2 linked regions of the Cricetulus griseus genome follow. The protein of the gene in region 1 interacts with the protein of each later gene in a pairwise test. Links are inferred from orthologs where the notes say so. Each region holds a gene or a part of one and is shown on either strand. Other genes may lie near its edges.

Evidence for each region.
Region 2: the proteins of Lhx4 (region 1) and coiled-coil-helix-coiled-coil-helix domain-containing protein 2 interact in binary tests that used the Homo sapiens proteins (3 or more experiments, as listed by UniProt). The two-hybrid records come from large-scale screens. The link is inferred for Cricetulus griseus from reciprocal best matches to the Homo sapiens genes LHX4 and CHCHD2.

What each region holds. Positions count from the first base shown.
Region 1 is NC_048598.1:36,047,823-36,059,728, forward strand, and holds the end of Lhx4 (LIM/homeobox protein Lhx4), read left to right. Parts: intron 1-1,920; coding exon 1,921-2,123; intron 2,124-6,461; coding exon 6,462-6,616; intron 6,617-6,970; coding exon 6,971-7,142; intron 7,143-9,232; coding exon 9,233-9,627; downstream 9,628-11,906. UniProt on the Homo sapiens protein: May play a critical role in the development of respiratory control mechanisms and in the normal growth and maturation of the lung. Binds preferentially to methylated DNA.
Region 2 is NC_048597.1:109,157,541-109,169,883, reverse strand, and holds coiled-coil-helix-coiled-coil-helix domain-containing protein 2, read left to right. Parts: upstream 1-4,290; 5' UTR 4,291-4,401; coding exon 4,402-4,451; intron 4,452-8,428; coding exon 8,429-8,678; intron 8,679-10,137; coding exon 10,138-10,285; intron 10,286-10,840; coding exon 10,841-10,851; 3' UTR 10,852-11,077; downstream 11,078-12,343. UniProt on the Homo sapiens protein: Transcription factor. Binds to the oxygen responsive element of COX4I2 and activates its transcription under hypoxia conditions (4% oxygen), as well as normoxia conditions (20% oxygen).

The sequences.
Region 1 (11,906 bases):
AGAAGTTTCTGGTGGCACGGATGCAGGTTTCCGTTTGTCTGCCCCCGTTCCCCCTCCCATGCCCATGGGGACACACATGCCTAGGCACACATAGGACAGAGCTGTGCTGCCTTCCCATTGAAACCAGGCGCTGCTGCAGGCGGAGGCAGCCCGGGCATCACTCAAGTTCTGGCAGTTGAGGCTGATGCTCTCCACACTCAGGTTCAGCCCTCTGTGGACATCCTCTACTTTTGTTACTCAGGAATAGAAACTGATCTTTCGGGTTCTACATCCCTTTGAAAATCTGACAAAAGCTGGGTCCCTCTGAAGCAGGATCCTGACCATTTGTGGCAGGGGTGCCGGGGTGGGGGGGGTGGGGGTTGCTCTTAAGGTCCTAAACTCCTGCTCTAAGAGGCTAGCTTTCTCTAAACTAAGAGGCACATCTCAGCCCTTGATACTTGCCCTTCTCTCCTGTGGTCTCAGAGAAGCAGTCTCCCTACCACACTTACAGGCTGTTGGGAAGATGCTCTTGTTGGGGAGACCCCCAGCTTCTCTCCAGGACAGTCTGTCCCTGGTGGAGGGAGCTGTGGAGGCCACAGCTGCCCATGCCTGTTGCAGGCCGTGCAGCCCCCTCAGCTGCAGGTATCACTGCTGCAAAGAGACCCATCATTCTGCATTAATCTGGGATTCATCATGATAGCCATGACCATAATTAATTTATTTGGTATTAATGCGGATGAAATATGTACTGTCCTTTCAGGGGAAATCAGGCTGCCTATAAGCATTAGTTAAAAGGACCATTAAAATCAAACCTTCCCCAGATCCATTAGGCGAAGTCTCTCACCCTGAAGAAGATGAAGTTCTGCTGTGTGAAGTGTCATGAATAATTAGGTTGATTGCTGTTTTAAACTCTGCCCCAGCTTCCCGTCCCCTCCTGCCTCCCTCCTTCTTCCCTTCCAGACCGGGGGAAGAATTACCTGTGGCCAACCACCCGCTTTGCTCCCTCCGCTCGAGTGTTTCTCTCTTGCTTCTGTGGCCACTGCTATGGCTCTGTGTGCCTCTATGTCTGGGATGGGGAGATGGACTTCAAAGACCTCGCTGGATGTTTCTTCCAATGCATTTCTCCCCCCTTGCTAGCCCTGGTAAAGGGTGGCAGTGGTTGATTTCCTCTTGCCTTGGTGCCAGTCCAAAAAGGGCTACAGTAGACAGCTGTTGAAAGCAGACTTTTCCAAAGTGACATCCACAGATTCCTTACTGGAGAATATAGTAAGGGATGCCACAGAGAGTGTGGCTTCCTGGGCCTTCCTGGGACAGTGCCATCCCAGGCTGCATGGGGAGCTTTGGGCTTTTCTGTGTGCTCAATACGTGTGTGCGTGTGTTTGGCTGGGGAAGGGGGGGGGGCTCAGAAGGAACAGGAGAAGCCTTCAGGAGAGCCTCACTCTGCTGACAGTGTGTTTTCTCCTTGGGCCACTGTGGATGCGGGCATGTGCTCTCCCCCAGCCGGCCGCACAGGGCCTCCTCCTATGGGAAACTTTGCTGAAGACTGTGCATGCTAGACTGAGCTGCCCACAGCAAACACAGCTCCTGCTGGGCTGGTCTTTTAGGAAGCACCATAAAGATGAGAAAAGGAGGTGAAGAGTGACTTCTTGCTCTGGGGGCCACTTAGAAGCCCTCCCTCTGCCTCTATGCATTGAGAGTGTCCCTGTGTATCCCTAGGATGTCAGTCATGGGATGGGAACTGATGACTTTAGCTCTAATCCAATCCCTTTGCTTTCTGTACTAGTACCCCGGCCACAGAGCAATGAAGCTAGGAGGAGGCCCAGGTACCCTAAGCTTTGGTATTCCTTGGACACTGGAGTGGTGGGGTAGGAGAGGGCTGATAAATGGTAGGCTCTAACCACAACCCCCTTGTTTTTATTTCTTCTACTGCTGTCTTGACAGGCGCTTTGGCACAAAATGTACAGCCTGCCAGCAGGGCATCCCCCCAACCCAGGTGGTCCGCAAGGCCCAGGACTTTGTCTATCACCTGCACTGCTTTGCCTGCATCATCTGCAACCGGCAGCTGGCCACAGGGGATGAGTTCTACCTTATGGAGGATGGGCGGCTAGTGTGCAAGGAAGACTACGAGACAGCCAAGCAAAATGGTAAGCAGCATGGCCCCCGCATGAATTCCTCCAGTGCTTTGCGGGCTGTGCCTGTCTCTCAGTGTCCCTCCTATCCAGCCCTCAGGATGCAGCCAATACTCAAGCTCCTCCGAGAATTGTAGCCAGAGCTCCACAGGTAGAGTTAGTTTTAAGCACCCCCAAGCCCTTAGGCCTTGCTAGCTCTGTGAAGTGTTAATAAAGCCGTAGCTACTGATTTCTGCTGAAGCCCTTATGGGGTAGTGAACTCACCACCTCTGCTTGGAGCATGGCTGGGAAGCTTGGTTGACTGGGGACATTTGAGGTGCACACTTCTTCGTCATCCTATGCTTCACAGGCTGCCATCAGCAAGAGCCACAGGACTTGCAGGGCTGGACTGTTTTCAGTTGTCTCCTGTCTGTCCTCAGGCTGTGGACTCAGGGGAACTGACCTTTGAGTGCCTGAAGCCCTTAAGCTGGAGTGAGTGAGTGAGTGAGTGAGTGAGTGAGTGAGTCAGTCAGTCAGTCAGTCAGTCAGTCAGCCAATCACTGGGAGGGGCCATGTTTAGGGGACTAGACAGTATGATGGCCCTTACCTTACCCCAACGCCACAGCCCATGCCGCAGTGGAAACTTCAAGCGCAGTGCAGACTGATGTCACCCACCCATGTTTCCCAGCCATCCCGGGAACCTGGCCTCAGCTGGGCAGCCTGAGAAGCTTCTGCTTTTGCCCTCCTTGTCATCGCCTCACAGAGAAGAGGCTTTTCTCTCTGCACAAGGCTCAGTGTGTTCCCCATGTGCCACCCAGGAAGGCCAGTCCTGACTCTCACTTTTCTGAAGCAGGCACACTCTCTGCTTCTCAGTCACAGCTCTGGCAGTAGGGCGAGGGCATCATGTCCTGCATCTGTATTCAGAATTTGACCAAACCCAGTCTAGAACTCTTAAGCTACAACTCCCAGAATCAGGGTCTTTGTCCTTGACAAGAACTTTAATCAACTTAGTTATTTCTGAGGACGGCAGCTCTGTTGACGGGTCTGGGCTTGGTGGAAGCAAACATTCAGACAAATCATTTCATGTATTCCTTTCTAGTTCTTTCCTGGGTTCGCTTACCCATGTAACCTGGATCTGATTAATACATGGAGAAATTAGATTTTTTTATGGTGGGGAGCAGGCTGAGGTGGGGGGCCCTGTGATGAGCCAGCTGCTCCAACCTTGGCTTTGGGACAAGGGGCCTCATCTCTCTGGCCTTTACTAGTGGACCAAGGACTAGTAGCCTTTGTCCCACAGGGACCAGAGACCTCTGTATATCCCATCAAAAGCTCTGCCTTGATGAGCTCATGCACTCTACTTTAGTGGTTCTCAACCTACCTAATGCTGCAACCATTTAATACAGTTCCTCATGGTGTGGTGACCCCTACCGTAACAGTTTTTCATTGCTACTTTATAACTGTAATTTTGCTACTGTGATGAATCATAATGTAAATATTTGTGTTTTACAATGGTCTTGGGTGACCCCCCCCAAAGGCTGCCACCCACATGTTGAGAACTACTGCTATTGCTTTGGAATCCACCAGGATGTCACAGAAGGGTGTCAACACAGGTGGACTTAGAGATACCAAGACAATTTAGAACTGGACCCTACAAGACTTTCACCAAAACCACGCCTCTCCTGGGCCTGTGCTGGGTCTTATTTTCAAAGCCCTCATGTTGACCTTTCAAAGACCTCATGTTTAGAGCCCAGAATCTCCTGGTGCTGTGGATAATTCCAGAGAAGAGGGAGACTAGTATTAATGTCAAAGGGAGGCAAGGATGACATTTGCAGCACTTGTCATCTTATGGAAGAAGTTTGTTTTACTGCAGCTTCCTGTAGGACAGTGGAAAGCACTGGTCTTGGCATCCAAGGCTGGGTGGGCAGCTACAGATTTGGAGTTTCTCTGGCAGGTTGAGGAAGCCTTGCCACACTGCTGTTTCCCAAGGTTAACTAGGATGACGCTTATACAAGGGAGTGCTAAATAAGAGCAAGTCCCTAGCGGAGAGAAATGCAGACAGGAGATGAAGTGTGCTAAAGAGTTAGAAGAAGCTGAAGCTATGTGTGCTTGTCCCCTAGGTGTCTCTTGACTCTGTCTGTCCCTTCCATTCTGTGCAATCCTAGAGATCCTTGACACGATAGGGGACATTTGTCTGCTGTAGTATGTTTGGCTGTTGTTAGCTTTCATTCCTTCTTGTTGCTCTAAACCTTCTTCCAAGCTCATAATTAGGGAATTATGAGCTAAACAAAGGGTTTAGTATCAGCTATTTGCACCTTAGTAGGAATGATTTTGCTCATTCATCTTGTCTCCTTCGATATTTTCATTTTCAATATGCTGCATTTTTATGCTAGGGACAAGCTTTAGGAGACACTGTATAATTCAAAATGAACATGTGTTAAGGCTAATTTTCCATGGGAATTAGTGTTACAAGTGTGTGTTGTGGGGGTGTGTTCTGCAGTCACACCAATCCATAACCAAAGTGTATTTCGCCTTAATGTTACTTTTTATTTTCTCAGCATTATCTCCAGTACCATGCTGAACGCTCTCTCCTAAATTAACAGCCCAGGGTGTCATGGGCTTGCTTGGCCTTCCTCATAGTGTTTTTATCACATTTAACTTCCGCACCAAAGTTATTGATTTTTGGGTACATTTTTCAGCGTGAACACTGACACCACTACTTAATGAATACTTGGATGACATTGTTATAGGATATAAAAAAGATTTTAAATTATAATAACAGTGAATGTTAAAATAACAGCATAATAGTTCCCATAATCACATGAAGGAAGTCTGTGCACATGAGCACATGCTGTACCAACCAGCTACCCACCATCGTGACAGGGCACAAAGAAGTAATTTCTGACTCATTTGGTCAATCTGTTCTGAAACTGACTCTCATGATTGGGTTCCCTCCCCTGTCACACACACACACACACACACACACACACACACACACACCATACATACACATACACACACACACACACACTCACACATACAGTAACACACACACACACACACATACACTCATAAATACACATACACACACACACACACCCATACATACACACACACACACACACACACACACACATCCATACATACACATACACACACACACACTCACACATACAGTAACTCACACACACACACATACACTCATACATACACATACATACACACTCACACACGCACTCACATCCTGCCATACACACTGTTTCTTTTGAGTAAGAGCTTCTGATTGTGTTGTCCAGGCTGGCCTCAAACTCTTGGGCTCAAGTGATTCTCCTGCCTCAGCCTCTAGAGTAGCTGGGACTATATAGGCTTACACTACTTTTTCAAGCTGGAAGTTTGTACATAAAGGCCATCTACATATTTTGAAAGCACATCACTTCATATTTATATAATTCGGGTTTGTTTTAAACAGTTACATTGTGAAGTCTATAAATGTGGGCAGAAAGGACCCGGCCCTCACTACCACACTTAAAGTGAAGAGTTTCAATGATCTGCCTAGGGACTCTGTACCCTGCCCCTTGCTGGTCAAATTGGCTGAGAGCAATTCTGAGTTGACGGTAACTCTGAGGAGGGTAGGACACTGAGGCCTTCACCCTTCCTTGTGGGCAACTGCTGAATTTCCAGAGCATGGAGCCCCACATGGGGAATGGTCACCAGATTCACTCACCAGGAAGGCCCAACTCCATGTGTGGACTCCCAGCAAGCATCTCCTAGAACCAGGGACTGAATGCATTCAAGGCTCATAGCAAAGCCGTGCACAGTAGGTACTTAATAAATGTCAGCCAGTGTTGAGGTCCTAAATGAGGGCTTTTTAATTCAAATGGAGAAGTGGGGGAAAGGTAGGCAGGAGAGAAGTTGGGGCCATGTTATGTCCTGCCATCTTTATTCTGGGCTCCCCCCTGATTAAGTGTTGGGAGACAAACTGCCCAGGGTGGGTCAGCTCTGGAGGTGCTCCAGAGGGGAGGAGGCAGGCTGCCTGAGGAAGCTCCAGACAGACTACATTTTGGCTCCTTCCTTTGACTGTAAGCGGAGTATTTCCCATAACAGGGAAATAGGTGAATTATTTGTGCAGCGAACATGATACACTACGGAAACAAGCCTAAGGGGACTTCTTTGTGTTCTGTTTGTGACAGTCCTCTGTGTGGAGAAACTGACCAGGGAGGGGAGATGGGAAGGTGGGTCTTATGAACGGCTGCTCACCAGTGTCAGCATCCCTGACACTGCCTATTTCTCCCCCAGGTTGTCTGGGGTGGGGGAGAAGGCAGAGGAAGCCCAGCTGCTTCAGCTGGGCTAATTCCATTAAGGTGGTTTTCCCTGTAGATGACTCGGAGGCTGGGGCTAAGCGGCCGCGGACCACCATCACAGCAAAGCAGCTGGAAACACTAAAGAACGCATACAAGAACTCCCCGAAGCCTGCCCGGCATGTGAGGGAGCAACTCTCCTCCGAGACAGGCCTGGACATGAGGGTGGTACAGGTGAGACAGCTGTACGGCTTTGCCCCTGACGGATCCAGGCCAGGGCAGGTCTGTGCCCTCCACCTAAGTAAGGGAAGCTTGGGAACGTGAATGACGTCATCTGGTGGGTGGGTGGGACTGAGTCTACAGGCAGGGGAGTTCAGGGCCACCACCCTGGGCATGAGGCTCAGGCTGAGGAGACAACGGGCACCCTGCCCTTTGTTCTGACACACTACCGAAGCTTTGGTCCATTTCCAGTCACTTGCTTGAGGGTTCAGGGGCTTTAGGTACCTCCTAGGTGCTTGCGGTGCGGGGGCGGGGGGGGGCAGGGGTCTTTAGGTAGCCCCTGAATGTGTTCCCTGTGTTTTGTGGCAGGTTTGGTTTCAGAACAGACGGGCCAAGGAGAAAAGGCTGAAGAAGGATGCAGGGCGGCATCGCTGGGGGCAGTTCTACAAGAGCGTCAAGAGGAGCCGGGGAGGCAGCAAGCAGGGGAAGGAGAGCTCGGCAGAGGACTGTGGGGTTAGTGACAGTGAGCTGAGCTTCCAAGGTGAGCAGGGCTGCAGGGGTGAGGCTGAGGCCCTAGGCGAGGCCCTGGGGGACAGTAATCCTTGCCAACAGGAGGGATCTTTCTGATGACACCCTCCTGGGCACAGGGTTTTCCTAGACTTTCAATAAAGGGTGGGAAGGGTGTTAGTGGCCCTTCCAGAAGGGGTGAGGAGTAGAGAGCAAGAGAAAGCCGTTGCTGACATACAGAGGCTGGAGTCCTCCGGACCCAGCCTAGCCCTGTCCTGGCCCTGAGGCCTCCGCCACTTTGCTGTTGGCACACAGTTGTGAACACAGGATGGCCCTGTCTCAGTCTTTGCCCCAGCCCTCCTGCACTTCTCCCCTTTGCAGGGACACTGAGCTCCTCCCACGGCCCCCTAGAGTAAGCCGTTCCTCCAATCCTGGTGGCAGGAGGACATGCTCAACAGGCCTTTTCCTGGGAAATCAATAATGTGAGTGCATGATGGGGAACTGGCTGCGTTTCTGAAACCCCTCCCCCCACCACCCACTCCATCCTGCCCTCCGCACACCAGCTTTGCAGCATGCGCTACGTTCAAACTGTGCATCAGCAAAACTGCAAATTACCGCATGAGTGGATCCTCAGGTTGTTTGCAAATAACCATGACTGCTCTTGCTCACTGAGCCCTCAAATACAGAAGATTCTTTTTTTTTTTTTCCTTTTTTTCTTTTTTTATGGGTGGGGGAGGGAAGGGTCTGGAACTGAGGCTCGGAAACCTGATTTCTAGTGTAGCTGTCAAAGCCATCTGTTTCTCCTGAGCCTCATTCTATACGTGGGGAGAGCCCACATCCTATCCATCTCACAGAGCTGTCATGGGCGTCAGTGAGCACAACCAACTGTGGATGAGCTTGGGGAAAGCTAAGCAGACCTGTGTGTATGAGGACAAATGGGTGGCCTGGTTGTTCCCATGGGAGCCTGTCATAGGGGACAGCAGGTATCAAGGCCAAGTGGAGCTTGCCTGGAGCCAAGTCTAGTCTACACCTTCCTGCTCCCTTTGAGTGACACACGGTCCCCCCTTTTTTATGGTTGTGAGTGGAATGTGGGGATCAGATAGATAGGGTGTGAAGTTAGTGACAGTGGCCTTTTGTAGGAATCAGTGTGTAGGCCCAGGTAGTAAGGGGAAAGGAAGACACTGGAACAAGTTACCATGAGCACAGAGCTGCAAAATCTGACCTCAGCCCAGGGGGGCTGCCGAGCCCAAACTTAGCCTTCTTAGACCCAAGGAGGCCAAGGAGGTTCATGCCCACTTCCCAGGCATCTTGGCAGGATTGGGGAAACCGGTTACTCTCATCTGAGCTGCTCAAATCCATACTGGGAACACAGAAGCACCAATCCTTGTTTTGTGGCTCATTTCCCCTGGGTGTGGGTGGGCCTCTGGGTATAACATGTTCTCTCTGGGTAACACGCGATCTTGTAATTCTTAAGACTAAACCTGCTCACCCCTATTGGAGAGAGAAATTCTCCCAGAAAATTTTATTAGATTCCCCTTAATGAAATTCTTCAAGAAACCAGAAGGTCCATTTGCCTTAATCAAGTCATTCTTTATCCTCAGTAAGTAGGTTATTGGATACAGAAAGAAACTGAGTTCTTTGATACTGAACTGTTTTTAGGTGGATGGGGATTTTATATACAGGCCTCAGAGTGGTTTCCAGCACCTTTATCATACAGACCTGTTTCCCACCCAGCCAGAACAAGTACTTTTCTTGGTTTGAAAGCCTTCATAGTAAACCCTATCGGCAGTTTCCATTTGTAATGCAGTGTGACCCACCAAACCCAGACACGCACACTGTTCAGTGTAACCAGGGGATCTCAGTGCTATTCTAGACCAGTAAGTCCACGAGACACTTCCCAACCCATAGGGCTTGGGGATTTAGGTACAGGCGATCCTTGTTTTCCCTTTGGTCTGGGTTGGTTTCTGGATAGTAGGCTGACATGTTGGTGTCTGACCTGTGCTTGGCAGGGAGGCAACTGCTGCCCGTGGGCATCCTTCCTGGTCATTGTATTGCTGGTTATGAAGAGCAGGGACCACCAGAGTCCTGGCAGCTGACAATATATCTCCGTTCTTTTGTCCACAGAGGATCAGATTCTCTCAGAGCTTGGCCACACCAATAGGATTTATGGCAACGTGGGGGACGTTACAGGCGGACAGTTAATGAATGGGAGCTTCTCCATGGATGGGACAGGACAATCCTATCAGGACTTGAGGGATGGGAGCCCCTATGGGATCCCCCAGTCTCCATCCTCCATATCGTCCCTGCCATCCCATGCCCCTTTGCTCAATGGGCTGGATTACACAGTGGACAGTAATCTGGGCGTCATTGCGCATGCAGGGCAGGGAGTAAGCCAGACACTGAGAGCCATGGCTGGGGGACCCACCTCTGACCTCTCCACAGGAAGCAGTGTAGGCTACCCTGATTTTCCAACTAGCCCAGCCTCCTGGCTCGATGAAATGGACCATCCTCCTTTTTAGACTTTTCTCCCCACTTTATCTGTCCTCCTGGCTTGAGCGAATTCTTCAAGGATCAAAAGAGACTTACCTCTTAAGGATCAAAAGTGCGCCAATGTGAATTTCCATTATTTTCAATGGAAGTCCTCTGCTGTTCTAGAAAGAAGGCTGAGACCACACTAGGACACTGCTTTCTTGGGAGGTGACAGGAGAGCAACCTCATCTCAACCACAGCACAGGGGTGGACAGCCTAGAGCTCTAGGGCCGCTGGCTTGCTGGCTCCCTCTCCTCTCACCTTGCTTCCAGGCTTTGGCTGCTCAGTGCTTTGATAGCACAAGGTGACCGTGAACAGGCCACCTTGGCCTATGGGGACTCTGCCCAGCCTGTGCATCTTACCCTTTGTCACCTAAATCATCACTTTCACCAGAACCAGGATTCCTGAGGGAGAGGCACCATGGCCCTTGAGAATAATAAAATGGTTTCTGGACCACTTTGATTATACCCTCATTTTCAAAGTAAAGTCAGTTATTAAAGGCTAGTTAAAAAAACACCGATGGCCACAGTTTGTTATAAAAAAAAAATATGGCCCCATCCCATTCTGTTTGTTGCGGTGACACTATGACTTTTTTCCTACTTGCAAGTGCAACCCAGAGTGAGTCTGGGTTTAAAAAAAAAAAATATCCCACCTGTATTGCTGAATCCCTGATGGCAAGAAGTGGCTTCCACTGCAAGTGACCCTGAGACGAAAGCCGAGTGTCTCTGGATCTTCTCACACAGTCTATGAGTCCCCTTGGTGCACAGTGCCTTTTAGTTTGCTTATATCATTTCCTCCCCAAGACAGGCTGAGGGCTACAAAATGATCCAAGCTAAACCATGCAGAGACCAGAATGACAATCAGTGAAAACATTCATACACACATTCGAACTCCAAACATGCAGTCTGTTTAGCCACACCGGCAGATGCTAGTCTCCCCGACTTCCCTGGCCTCGTGATGGGGTGGAATGAAATCTGGAACATTCACTGTACTCTGAGAGGGTTGATTTTGATGACTTTGCAAGGCTGTTCTCTCTTGAAATGAAAGCCTCCTCTGCCTTACTAGCTGATTCAGTTGAAAGACAAGGACCAGCCAGGCTTTTTTTTTTGGGGGGGGGGCTTAACTTGGTTTGGAAAATAGCTGGGCTCTCTGGGTTGCTGGCTAGACTTGTGCCATGCTGCAGGCTTCAGTCCTGTGCCCAGAAAGCCCCAGCTCCCTGGCCAGCCACAGTGCAGGGACTCTGCCTCCAGAAGTACTTCACTAAGCCTGCAATAGGAGTGAGGCCAGTCTGGCTCTCAATCTGTCATCTGAGAGAGGCTACTCCTCTGTGGTAGACATGGCTGTGACTGGTGGCAACTGCTACTGCTGTGGCCCACTTCTGGCCACCAGGAAGTGTTCCATGTTCAAAATGGGAAGTTAGCTAGCTGGAATTTATTCTCACCCCCTCAAGAAGCTGGTTCATTTCTTCTGGCCCTGCATTCTTTTAAACAAGATCTGAGGGGTAGGAAAAGATGAGCAGGCATTATGTTTCTTTTACACGAAGTGATGAAACCAAAGGCCCAAGGACCCTCGTTTCTGTCAGTCATGTTTGAGGGACACATTTCCTCTTTGGCTGCTAGCTTCTTTCAAAGCTAAGTTCAATTAAGCTTCCTTAAAGAAACAGTCAGTTCTCTGATCAGTTCTGTAGAAATGCTTTGGTGAGCTGTAGCTGGCCTGGCTTTGCTTTCGAGAGTGCAAACAGACTGCTTTCTTGAGATCTCATGTCTTGATGACATTCACTATTCAGTGCTACTAGAATTTCCCAACAATGTGAATGCTGGGTTAATGATGGAGACACAGATGCAAGATAATATGCCATGTGAAAGAAATGGCAAGCATCAATGTGAAGACCCAATTCCTAAATACCCCATCCTCAGCAGACTGCCCATTAACACACAACGCCAGGCTGGGCAATCTAGCTGGAAAGCTGCTGTAGCTAGGCCACCACCTTAGTTCGACTATTGGTTAGTGTCTCATGGGTTTGTGTTTTTGAACATCCTATATAGCACTATTGAAGACTGACTGAAGTTAATTGGGTTTTGGTTTTGAGGATGAGTTACTCATACTCTCAATTCACTAGTGGGAGAGCAGGAGGCTGTTCTCACACTAACACTGTATCTTGAGGAAGATGGTGAGCATTGCAGTGATGTTGACAGAAGCTTCTTGGGGGGGGCTCCTTTTTGGGGGGTGCACTGAGCTGGAAGGGCTCTTGGGAGAACACTGGGTAGGA
Region 2 (12,343 bases), on another chromosome or scaffold:
TTTTTGCTTCCAATAGACAACTGGCTTCCTCCATAACCCAGGATGTCCTTGATTTTGATATCATCCTGCCTCAGCCTCTCAAGTAAAATGGATTGGGGCATTACAGGCATGTGCCATCATGCCTACTGTATTAACAAGTATTAAACCTGAAACTTGGGAGGAGAAAGACTAAATATCCATGATTGTCTACTCAAAGTAAGCTACGATTTAGAGGTACACCCGGACTGGCCTGTCTCGCACTAAGTTGGCATTTAAAAAGCACTGGACTGTTGAGGTTCCTTTTATCGGGGAGAGATAAAGATTAGTAGAAAAAAGCTGTGTAGTTACAGAGGGGAGACAATTGGCTGTTAGAGATTGTTAGAAAAATACAATGAAAGAGGAAGACGAGTATGTACATCTTGTTAATGGGTCACACATTAGATTTAAGAAGCAGCCTTACTCTTAAATAGAAACCTATTTTTGTAAAGTTTAGGGGATTAACATAATGGGCCCTTTGATTTGCAAGGTATATTGCTCCTGTTTTGCCTCACATATACTCCCATGCCCCCCTTGGCCTGTGTAACCCTTCCAAATCTTTGACAAGGTAGCAGCGGTGCCTGATGTTGTCGGGTAAACAGGATTCTGGCATTGAATATCTTTCGTGTGATAAGGCTAGAAATACATTGAAAAACAGTGCCCAAATATTATGATTAATGAGAGAGCTATCAAGGGTCTGATGAAGGGGAAGAACCATCTCTGCCTTGAGATGCCAATCAACCTGTGCCTTGCAGATTTTATTTCTCTATGTAAGTCATTGCTTTGGTTATTAATAGTGTGGGAGAAATATGATACATTGTAACAACACATTCCAGGGAATTGTTGATATCTAAGATTATGTCTGAGCAGAACCTCTATGATAGCTCTATTTTGTAAGACTGTCATTCTTAACTCTCCCATTTTGTGATTAATTTTTGCCAGTATCTTTGCTGTACTATTAGTAGTTTTAGCTATTTAGCAGGCTACTTTAGAAATCCCCTTTTACACCCCCACAACCAATCCAGGCACAGGGAATACAAAGGCAGCTTCGACTGCTATTGAGGTGGGGTCTAGCAGATGTAGCGAGTCAGCACAATTCTCAGTTCCCTGACTTCATAATTCTATTAACGGTTGTAGAGACTTACTGAATAAAATAGGTGTGATGCACCCTCACCCATACATGCCCTTTTATAACCTCTGGGGAGGACAGAATAAGTGTTAGTCTCACAGAAAAAAAATTCATCACGGGTGTAATTGTTTTCCCTAGGGGAGCACATGATTGGAAGTAGCATTGCGTGGGAGGCATATATCAGTACAATATAGCCTTGGAAATGTTTACAGGGGCATGTTCTATGGAGTCCCCTGTTAAATTGGCATGATGTCATAATGTTTATATGTGACTCCTATTCAACATGTTAGTTTTTTCCCAAGAGCCCAGGAATTGAAGAATTAAAAGGAACTTGTCTGTCTGCTATTTGACGCTATGTGGAGCCAAAAACTGGCATCCTATCTATTAGCTGTAGACAGTGACATGTTAATTTTGATCGAATCTACTAAGGAGTCTGTTTTCTCTTTTTCATCTTAATACGTTTGTAGTTTCTATTATTAGATTTTGTTAAAATATTTAATTATGCTCAAGTCTGTATTGTTACATTGGGACTGGTCAGTCAAATTAGTCCATTCCAGTTGCCCTCCTTCCATTTGGATAAGAATGAACTGTCGAATTGTTTTCCTTCCTTCAGCCAAACAATAGGACCTGGGGGCTGGCAACAGTCCCTAGTCTTACAAAGTAATATTAAAGTATTTCCTGTTACAAGTGTACCTTCTATTCCCCCAGTTAAAAGATAGTATCAAGTTCTAAGGCAAACTGGAGCATAATTGTTAATGAGATATGTTCAGTTACAATCCACCTCTTTTCCTTTTGGAAGTCAGAGGACAACCTACATTGATGGATTCTTTGCTTCTATGCCTCTCAGGGGATTGAACTCAAGTCCTCAGCCTTGGCAGCAAACCCCTGCATCTCACAGACATCCTTACAACATTGTTAAACACTCACTTAAAATAGATAATGCAACAGACTATCACATTGTTGAGCAACTGACAGCCCAGCCATCCTTCTTTGTGTAGGAGTAGCTTCTCCAGTGTGGTGGCAACCCTACTTCAGTTTGTTTATTGGGCATATGTGATGTATGCATGAGTGTGCTGGTGTATTCATGTGTGCTATCTTCCTCACTTGCTTCTCCACATTGTATTTTTAGTATTTAAAAAATTTTAAATTATAAAGCTGGGCGTGGTGACTAGTGCCTTTATTCCAAGCACTCGGGAGGCAGAGGCAGGTGAATCTCTGAGTTCAAGGCCAGCCTGGTCTACAGGAACTCTTGGGTCCTCTCCAAGCACAATGCATGTTCCTAACTGAGAACTATCTCTCCAGCCACTCCACCGTATTCTTTTTTTTTTTTTTGTCTTTTGAGATAGGGTTTCTAGTAAAGGTGGGATTGAAAGGTTCAGGCATTATGCTGGCCTGCCCCTGTTAACCTGGCAGAATCCACTCAGGCAGTACCCTGGTCAGCCCAGCGTTCCATGGGAATTAAGTCTGTAGGCAGGTGTAGAGGACCTCTTTAAAAGACAGACCCCTGCCCATTTATGCTCTTTCTGCCCCTCTTCTCTCTTCTCTCTCTCTCTCTCTCTCTCTCTCTCTCTCCTCTCTCTCTGCCACTCTCTCTTCCTCACTCTCTGTCCTGTTATGTTCTTCTATTTCTCTCTCACTAGCTTTCCCGGGTTTCGGCACCAAATGTTATATTTCTGATTAAAAGCACACTCTATGGAACATGAACCATGGAGAGCATAAAGAGTATATTAATCATAGAGTTTATTACGACGGGAGACCGAGAAATGGAAGAACAGAGTAGGACAGAGAGAGAGAACCATTTCTTTTTGTTTTTTTTTTAAGATTTTATTTATTTATTATGTATACAACATTCTGCTTCCATGTGTATCTGCACACCAGAAGAGGGCACCAGATCACCAGATGGTTGTGAGCCAGCAACCATGTTGCTGGGAATTGAACTCGGGACCTCTGGAAGAGCAGTAAGTGCTCTTAACCTCGGAGCCATCTCTCCAGCCCCAAGAACCATTTCTTTAAAGTCATGTTCTTAGATATGGGAATGGATCTCACAGCTAGTTTTGAGCCAGGGTGGCCTCCTTTTATTATGGGAATGGCACCTAATTGGAGGTCAACCTTGTTGACTAAACATTATCAGAAACTTTCTTGGCCACCTGAAACTTCAATGAAGGTACAGAATTTTCTTCACCACAGTTTCTTTCTCTTTGTTTTAAGTTTATTCATTTTTATTTTGTACACATTGATGATTTGCCCTGGGTGTCGGGTCCCCTGGAACTAGGATTACAGACAAGTTGTGAGCTGCCATGTGGGTTCTGGGAATTGAACCCGGCTTCTATGGAAGAGCAGCCATCTCTCCAACCCCTTCCCCACAGTTTCTAATAAGCCTGGTTAGTACACTGTCTTCCAGTTATACCGGAGGCAGCGCTCCTTTAGCTAAATTCTACTTTGTTTTGGTTTTGGTTTGGTTTGGTTTTTCGAGACAGGGTTTCTCTGTAGGTTTGGAGACTGTCCTGGAAACTCGCTCTGGAGACCATGCTGGTCTCGAACTCATAGAGATCCGCCAACGCCGGGCTAAATTCTACTTTGTTTAACTTAATATTTCTAAGCAAGTTTATTAGTAAATCCTTTACAACATCAATTTTAGTATGAGTTTCTCCTGCAGCGCCAGCACTAGGAAACTGAGTCGTGAGAACAGCGAGTTCGGGCCAACACCCGTTATGTGAAACCTTGTCGCAAAACAAAACAATCTGAGAAGGGTTAAAAAAACAGCCCAAGGCCCTCTGGTAGACAAGGCAGAGATGACTCAGTCAAGGTTGCATTTAACCTTGTTAACTCAGTAATCATGGCGGCATATGCCTGTAATCCCCCAATCCAGTTTACTTGAGAGGCGGAGGCAGGTGGATCTTAAAATCAAGCATGAGTTGTTGGGGAAGCAGGTCGTCCCTTGGAAGCAAAAACCTAGCAATGAAGCACAGAATCGGGGGACAAGATTTGAGAGCGCAACCCCATGAACTTCCGGCTAGCTACGGGGCCTGGTCGCCAAGCTCTAGACTTCCCGGCGTAGGGCGCGGCACCAGGGCGTTCGCCGTTACGGATGTCTTCATCTCCCAATGACCTTCAGCGCTCGTGCTCTCTTGAGCGCTGATTGGCTGCCCTTTGAGAACCCGCCTCCCGCCTTCCGTTCTCCTTGGTAGAAGTTGCTGGACGCTCGTGGGTGTTTCGCAGTTTCTCGTCTTTGGACTCTGCTTGTCTGATCACCCAGGATGCCGCGTGGAAGCCGAAGCCGCTCTTCCCGGGTGGCCCCTCCGGCCAGGTGAGACCCTCCTCGGGGTTGGGGACTGAGAGCGGGCGGCCAGGGTGACGTTGCGTAGCCAGAGAGCTGCGAAGGCGGCGGGTGGTGAGACAGGGCGAGCAATGAGGAAGGGACCCGCTCCTGGGGAAGAGGGCTCCCCGGGAACAGGGACACCCTCGGTGCGCTACGGCAGAGGACGCTAAAGCGTGAACTTTCTCCTCCACTGCTTGGGGGGAAGGGCCTTAGAGGACATAGTCTACGAAGAGGCGGAGGAAGAATGATTTATGTGGAGGTCTAGAGGTGGTTTTCTTATTAATTTTGTTTCTCCTCTCTCTCTCTCTCTCCTCTCTCCTCTCTCTCTCTCTCTCTCTCTCTCTCTCTCTCTCTCTCTCTCTCTCGTCTCTCTCTCTCTCTCTCTCTCTCTCTCTCTCTTTTTTCGAGACAGTGTTTCTCTGTGTAGGCAGGCCTGGCTGTCCTGGAACTCGCTCTGTAGACCAGGCTGGCCTCAAACTCAGAGATCCAGCCGCCTCTGGCTTCCGAATGCTGGAACTAAAGGCGTACGCCACCACTGCCTGCCTGGGGTGGTTTTCTTTTACTGTGTGTGTGAGGTCCTCCGGCTAACCTTGAACTTGATAGGCCTTGCTAGTCTGCCTTGATTTTCCTGACTCCGCTTCCCTACGGCTGGGATTACAGGCTTTAAAGGTGTCTACAAGAAAATTAAATACCTGTGTATAGGCCCTTTCCTTCCACCACTTTGGTCCAGAATATCTTAACACTTAGTTGCAAACATTATTGAGAGATCTCCTCGGCCCACAGGAAGTGGGTAGATAAGTAGAAATTGTTGACAGCGCCTGGAATACAGATGTTTCTTTTTGGTCAAGTATTGGTGTGCACGCCTTTAATCCCAGCACTCGGGAGGCAGACGCAGGCAGGTCTCTGAGTTCGAGGCCAGCCTGATCTACAGATCAAGTGCCAGGATAGTCTCCAAAGCTACACAGAGAAACCCTGTCTCGGAAAACAAAACTAGACAAAAAAACCCCAGATGTTTCGTTTTGGGGAATATAATTGTAGAAAGTTAAAGATTGTTTCTGTAATGGGAGGGAGGCTGAGGACTGTATATGGTAAGAGATGCCCCATCTATCCCCAAGATAGCTCTCCATGCTCCTGTCTCCCTAAAGGCAAGGGTAGGCACCAGTTCAAGATAGCAGTGGTGCTATCTATAGAGAGACCCAGGCTCGGAAAAACTAAACGAGAAATAAGATTAGTAAAAGTTGCAGTTCAGAGCCGAGCGTTGGTGGTGCATGCCTTTAATCCCAGCACTCGGGAGGTAGAGGCAGGTGGATTTCTGAGTTCGAGACCAGTCTACAAGAGCTAAAAAAGTTGCAGTTCAGACAGGTCATTGTCCCTAAGTTTTTCTTTTTGGTTTGGATTGGTGCTTTGTTTTGTTTCTTTAATACAGGGCTTCACTGTGACCCTGGCTGTCCTGGAACTCAGATCCATTCACCTGCTCCTGCCCCCTGAATGTTGGGATTAAAGGGAGTGGGCCACCACACCATACCCAGCTGCCTTAACCTTTTGTGATTGGTAAAGTGAAGGTCTTGGTGTACATTCTGAGCATTACCTCATGACTGTTTTTTGGATTTTGTTGACTTTTTTATCGTTACATTGTGCAAGCTGGTCCCAAAGCCATGTGCTAAATGATCTTGCCCCCCCACACACACACACACTGAATAGCTGGGACTACAGGTATATTTTGCCAAGCCAATGCCTTCTGTATATTTTCTTTCTAGTTTAGTCAACCCAGAGTCCCATGCCTGCCCAGAAAATGCTCTGCTAATCCAAGCTCTAAATTGTTTTATGTCTGTATACCTGTGTGAAGGTCAGAGGGCAGTTTGTGGGAAGTAAACATCCTTGTGGATTCCAGGATTCTAACTCAGGTTTTCAGGCTTGGCAGCAAACACCTTTCACCAGTGAGCTCCCCAAGCATGAACTCCCCAAGCTCTAATCATATCCCCTCACCCGCAATAGAGTTTCTCTATGTAGCCCTTGCTGTCCTGGAACTCACTTTGTAGACCAAGATGGCCTAAAACTCAGAAATCTGCCAGCCTCTGCCTCTGGAGTGTTGGAATTAAAGGCGTGTGCCACCATACCTGGTTGAGTTCCCAATCTTTTTGTTTGTTTTTGTTGTTGTTACCATTTTTTGAGAGGTGGGTTTGTGAGCCTTGGGAGGCCAGAGGTGTCAGGTGGCCTGGAGCTGAGATTCACCATGGGCTAAGAGCAGTATGCAGTCTTTACTGTTGAGCATTTCTCTACCTTTTCAACTTAATAGCTGATTTTATTTACTTAGTATACAGTGATCTGCCTGCATGTATGCCTGCACGGCAGAAGAGTACGATAAGATTTTTTTTTTTAATTATTTACTTATGTATACAGTGTTCTGCCTGCATGTCTGCTTACAGGCCAGAAGAGGGCACCAGATCTCATTATAGATGGTTGCAAGCCACCATGTGGTTGTTGGGAATTGAACTCAGGACCCCTGGAAGAGCAACCAGTGCTCTTAGCCTCTGAGCCATCTCTCCAGCTCAATAGCTGATGATTTTATGGAGTATTGGAATAACTGTTCTTTAAAGATACTGTGGGCCATGTGGATACATGAAAACAGTTTTTTTTAAAGGGACAAAATAGTTATACTTGGTTGTTAAAACTTTAGCAAGGTTGGTGGGCACACTTTTGATCCCATCTCTCAGGAGGAAGAGGCAGGTTGATCTTTGTGAGTTTAAGGCTAGCCTGGTGTACAGAGCTAGTTCTAGAACAATCAAGAATACACAAAGAAACTATTTTGTGGGAGGGGTGGGGGCGCTTAACAGAAGATTGAAGAGGTACAGTGCTATATATGTATAATCAGTTAGTGAAAACAAGTTTCTATAGTCTTCTTGCTGGTGGGTGGTATATATATTTAAAGGCAGTTGTGGCACACACCTTTATTCCAGCCTTGTAAGATAAAGTGTGTTCAGGACTGCCAGGACCACACAAACAAACTCTGTCAACAAACACACACACATACAAAAAGATGATTTAAAATGGGGCTAGAAAGTTTGCTTTATAGTTAAGAGTACTGACTGATGATCTTCCTGAGGACCTGCGTTTGATACTCAACACCAACATGGGCCCCTCAAAACCAGGTCCAGGTGATCCAGAGCCCTCTTCTGGCATGCAAATAGTACAAAGACATAGTTGCATGTAAACAATTATAAAATACAACAGTAAAATAAGAGATTTAAAATGAAGCCAAGTCAGAGTGACAAATGCTTCTAATCCCAGCACTGGATGAGGCTGATATAGGATTCATAGGTTCAGAGCTAGCTGTGGTTTTTATGGTTGGTTGGTTTTTGTTTTTTTAGGAGAGGGTATCTTTTCTCAGACTGGCCTTAAAGTCACAATGTAGAATGAGGATGACAGTAGATATGCCAAAGTATATGTATGATAAAAAGCTCACAAGGCCTCAACCTACATGAGGAACTACAAGCAACTAAAGAATACTGAAAGGCAAGAGAGATAGTCTTCCCCAGAGAGAGCACACCCATTTAGTTATCCAATACCAAGAGGTCAGCCCTGAACACATACATACAAGTAACATACAGACTGAGGTTCTATGTAGGAATGTGTATGTATACACATATATGCATCTAGTAACAGCTAATAAAAAAAGAGGCCATGAATTTGAAATCAATCAAGGAGGGATCTATGGGAGGGGGTTGGAGCCAGGAGGGAAGGGAGGGCAGAAATGCTGCAATGATTATACTCTGAGAAACATTAGTGAAGAGGAAGAAATCACTGTAGCTGAGGATGGCTTTGGCCTATTGATTCTTCCTGTGTCTGCCATCCCAGTGCTGGCATTACAGGCTTGTGCCACCAAACCTGGCTTGCCGCATTTCTTCAGTAAATTCCAAAGCCATTTGGAACTGGGATCTGATGAGTTTTGTTCTTTTCTTTCCTAGCCGGGCCCCTCAGATGAGGGCTGCTCCTAGACATGCACCTGCAGCTCAGCCTCCAGCAGCAGCTGCACCATCTGCAGTTGGCTCCCCTGCTGCTGCACCCAGGCAGCCAGGCCTGATGGCCCAGATGGCAACCACTGCAGCTGGTGTGGCTGTGGGCTCTGCGGTGGGTCACACCCTGGGTCATGCCATCACTGGGGGCTTCAGTGGGGGTGGCAGTGCTGAGCCTGCAAGACCTGACATCACTTACCAGGTAAGAGTTGGGGCAGCTCTTCCTTTCTGTGTTTCTATTTTCTGAGAACACTGGGCAACTTGTATGTAGGAGCCCGTGTTTGGTTTTAGGATCCACAACTCTTCAAGTACAAAGTGGTGTGCCTCCCTCCTTCCTTTTCTTAAGTGGGGATTGCTGGAGGTATGGTTCAGTGAATAAGCACCTAATTCTGAAGCCATGTGGACCTGAGTTCAAAACCCATGAACCACAAAAAGTCAGGCCTAGCCATACATATTCTGTAACTCCTGCACTGTGTAGGGGAGACAAGCAGATCCCCTCAACTTGGCTGGCTGGCAGTTGTGGTGAAATGACCTGTTTCAGTGAGAGGCCCTGTCTCAAGGCAATAGGATAGAGAGTGGTAGAGGAAAGACACCCCATGTCTTGGTTGCCTCTCTTTGGGGCACACCCACCCAAATGCTCATGTTTGAGCATCACATCAAAAAGCCACATAGCATGACTTAAGTTAAACCTTTAGACAAGCATCAATAAATAGACAAGCATCAATAAATAGAACAGACTGGAAACATAACCGTCCAGCCCAACTTCTGTAAAATGGCCCTTTTTTATTATGTATACAGTCTTCTGCCAGCATGTATATCTGCAGGCCAGAAGGGGGCACCGGATCTCATACATGGTTGTGAGCCACCATTTGGTTGCTGGGAACTCGGGAAGAGCAGCCAATGCTCTTAACTTCTGAGCCATCCCTCCAACCCCCTGCCTTGGCTTTATCTTGGCTATACTGTTGGTTTCTGTTGTTTCGCTTGGAGACTAAGTCTTCAGTGTGTGACCCAAGCTGACTTCAAGCTTGTAGCAGTCTCCTTGTTTGGTTTCTCAAGTGTTGGGGAGTTACAGCCATGAGGCCTGGCCTTTCAGTTCAGTCTGTTACATAATCACAAGTCCCTTTCACAGCTTTTGACCTGATATTTTTCCCCCTCCCCCTCTCCCTGGGGTGTTTGCATTTTGAATGTGCTAAGGATCATGTACTCTTGAAATGTGGTGTATCTGAAGTTCTCATCCATCTCTTTCCAATAATAGTCCTATTTTTCCTTAAGAATGGTTCTCCTTGGGCTGGAGAGATGGCTCAGCGGTTAAGAGCACTGACTGTTCTTCCAGAGGTCCTGAGTTCAATTCCCAGCAACCACATGGTGGCTCACAACCACATTGAATGAGATCTGGTACCCTCTGCTGGCATGTGGGCAGAAAACTGTATACTAAATAAATAAAATCTTTAAAAAAAAAAAAAAAAAAGGAATGGTTCTCCTTTTTCTATATTTGTAGTGTTGGGGTTCAAACCCAAGCCAAAGCACACAATCTTATTGTTGAATCCCTAGCCGCGTGCGTGTTTGTATGTGTGTGTGTGTTTACAGTGTTAACATCAAGTCCAGAGCCTTGTGTGTACTAAGCAACTTTCTCAGTACTACCTAATATTATGTCTTGGCAGGAGCCCCAGGGAACCCAGCTGCTGGACCAGCAGCGAGGGCCATGCTCTCTTGAGATCAAACAGTTTCTGGAATGTGCCCAGAACCAGAGTGACGTCAGGCTTTGCGAGGGTTTCAATGAGGTGTTGCGACAGTGCAGAATTGCAAATGGTAGGTGATCTGTCCATCTGCTCAGAGTTATAGTCCTGAACCCTGTGGGGTTTTGGAGTTAAGTCCCCAAGTAGAACTTTTGATTTTCAAGACAGGATTCTCTGTGTTCTCCTGGCTCTCACTCTGTAGACAAGGCTGGTCTTGAACTCACAGAGGTCCGCCTGGCTCTGCCTCCTGAGTTCTGGGATCAAAGGCCATCACCGGCTGGGACAAGCAGAACTCTTGATTAGACTTCCTGGAGTGTTGGCAGTCCCATTGTTTCTGTGGTTTCTCTTGTAATTTCAGAAGTTCACTCTCTATTAATTAAAATGCTTGTTCTTGTTTTCCCACCCTATGGGTTGTGGGAGAGCGGGGAAGAGAGCGAACCTGTCTAAAATGGTTAGAACTCTTTGTTGGCTACCAAATGGCTATATTTCTGCTTCAGGCCTTTGTTTCTAGAAACACATGTTCCATGTCTTAGATAGAACTGAAGTTTGATTAAAGGAATAAGTAAATGTCTTGGAAAAGCTAACAGTGTATCTGGGCATCTTCTAACTTAATGTTTTCTTTTAACAGGTTTAATCTAATCAAGAAGTTCAAACTGAAGAAATGGGCTCTGCCTAATTGATAGTGAAAGTGTGGACCCTGAGTAAACAAATCTTATTTCTAATAGCTCCTTTACTTCAGCCATGAGAGAGTCCTAACTGTATGTTCACTCAGTTTGTAGTGTTGGGGACTGAGCAAGTGATGGCCTCCTTGAACCAACTGTATTGTTTCTTGTGAGTTAATGAAAATAAAATTGTTTGATTCTGAGGTGTGATAGTGTCCTTATTGTAGGGTCATAACGAGTTTGTGCAAGAATACAGCTATATCTGCATGTCTTTTGGTTCATCTAATCCAGTGGTTCTCAACCTTTGTAAGGCTGGACACTTTAATATATTTCTTCATGTAGTGGAGAACCCCATCCATAAAATTATTCCATTGCTACTTGGTAAAGTTCATCATCAGTCATGCTGTTCATGTTTAAATGGTTTTTAACTGCTCCAGGCCCAGGGTCCCAGAAGGATCCCTCCTGGTTGGTTTTTAGTGTTTTTTTTGTTTTGTTTTGTTTCTCTGTGTAGTCCTGGCTGTCCTGGAATTTGGCTGTGTAGATAAGGCTGACTTCCGGAACTCAGATATGCCTGCCTCTGCTTCTTGAGTGCTGGGATTAAAGGGTGCACTACCATTGCCCTGCTTCCCTCACTGTGTCAGACCATAGCCTCAGACACACTCAAGGAGTTGGCTGACACAGTACAACTTTTGAGAGCAAGGTGCATCCTAGAGCTTTTTTTTTTTTTTCCATTTCAGTACTGATTCTTAGTCCAGTGGTGGTGGCACACGCCTTTAATCCCAGCACTGGAAGGCAGAGGCAGGCAGATCTCTTAAGTTCAAGGACAGTCTGGTCTACAGAGTAAGTTTCAGGACATCCAGAGCTAAACAGTGAAACCCTCTTTCTGGAAAAAAAAAAATCACTAATTCTTAAGTGGTTTTTTTTTTTTGTTTTTTTCTCTGTTTCTGCCAAATGGCTTATTTACAAGTTTTTTGTGTGAGTGTTTGCCTGGGTGTATATCAGTGCACTGTGTGTGGTACCCTCAGGACAGAAAACTAGATCCCCTGGAGCTGCAGTTGCAAATTGTTGAGCAAGCATGTGGGTGCTAGAAAAAACAGGAGTGCTGCAAGAGCAGCCAGTGCTCCTATCCATGAGCCATATAGCCCCTACATTTCCATATGGTTGTCTCTTCAAGGCAGTTTCTCTGTAACAGCCTTGGCTATCTGGGACGCAGAGATCTGCCTGCCTCTTCCTCTTGAGTGCTGGGACTAAAAGTATCACTACACCCTGCTATGTGGAGTCCTAGTTAACCCTTTAATGGAAAAGACCTTTATGTGCTTAACGGTGTTAGGGAATGGGTGAGAGTGGCAGCATGGTTAGGCAAGCATTCTCCAGGCTCTGGGGCTTGTCAAAAGCCTTGCCAACAGGTAAGTGATTGATAAGACATTATGGGATGGGTTCCCTGTCACAACATCATTATTACTGTGTGT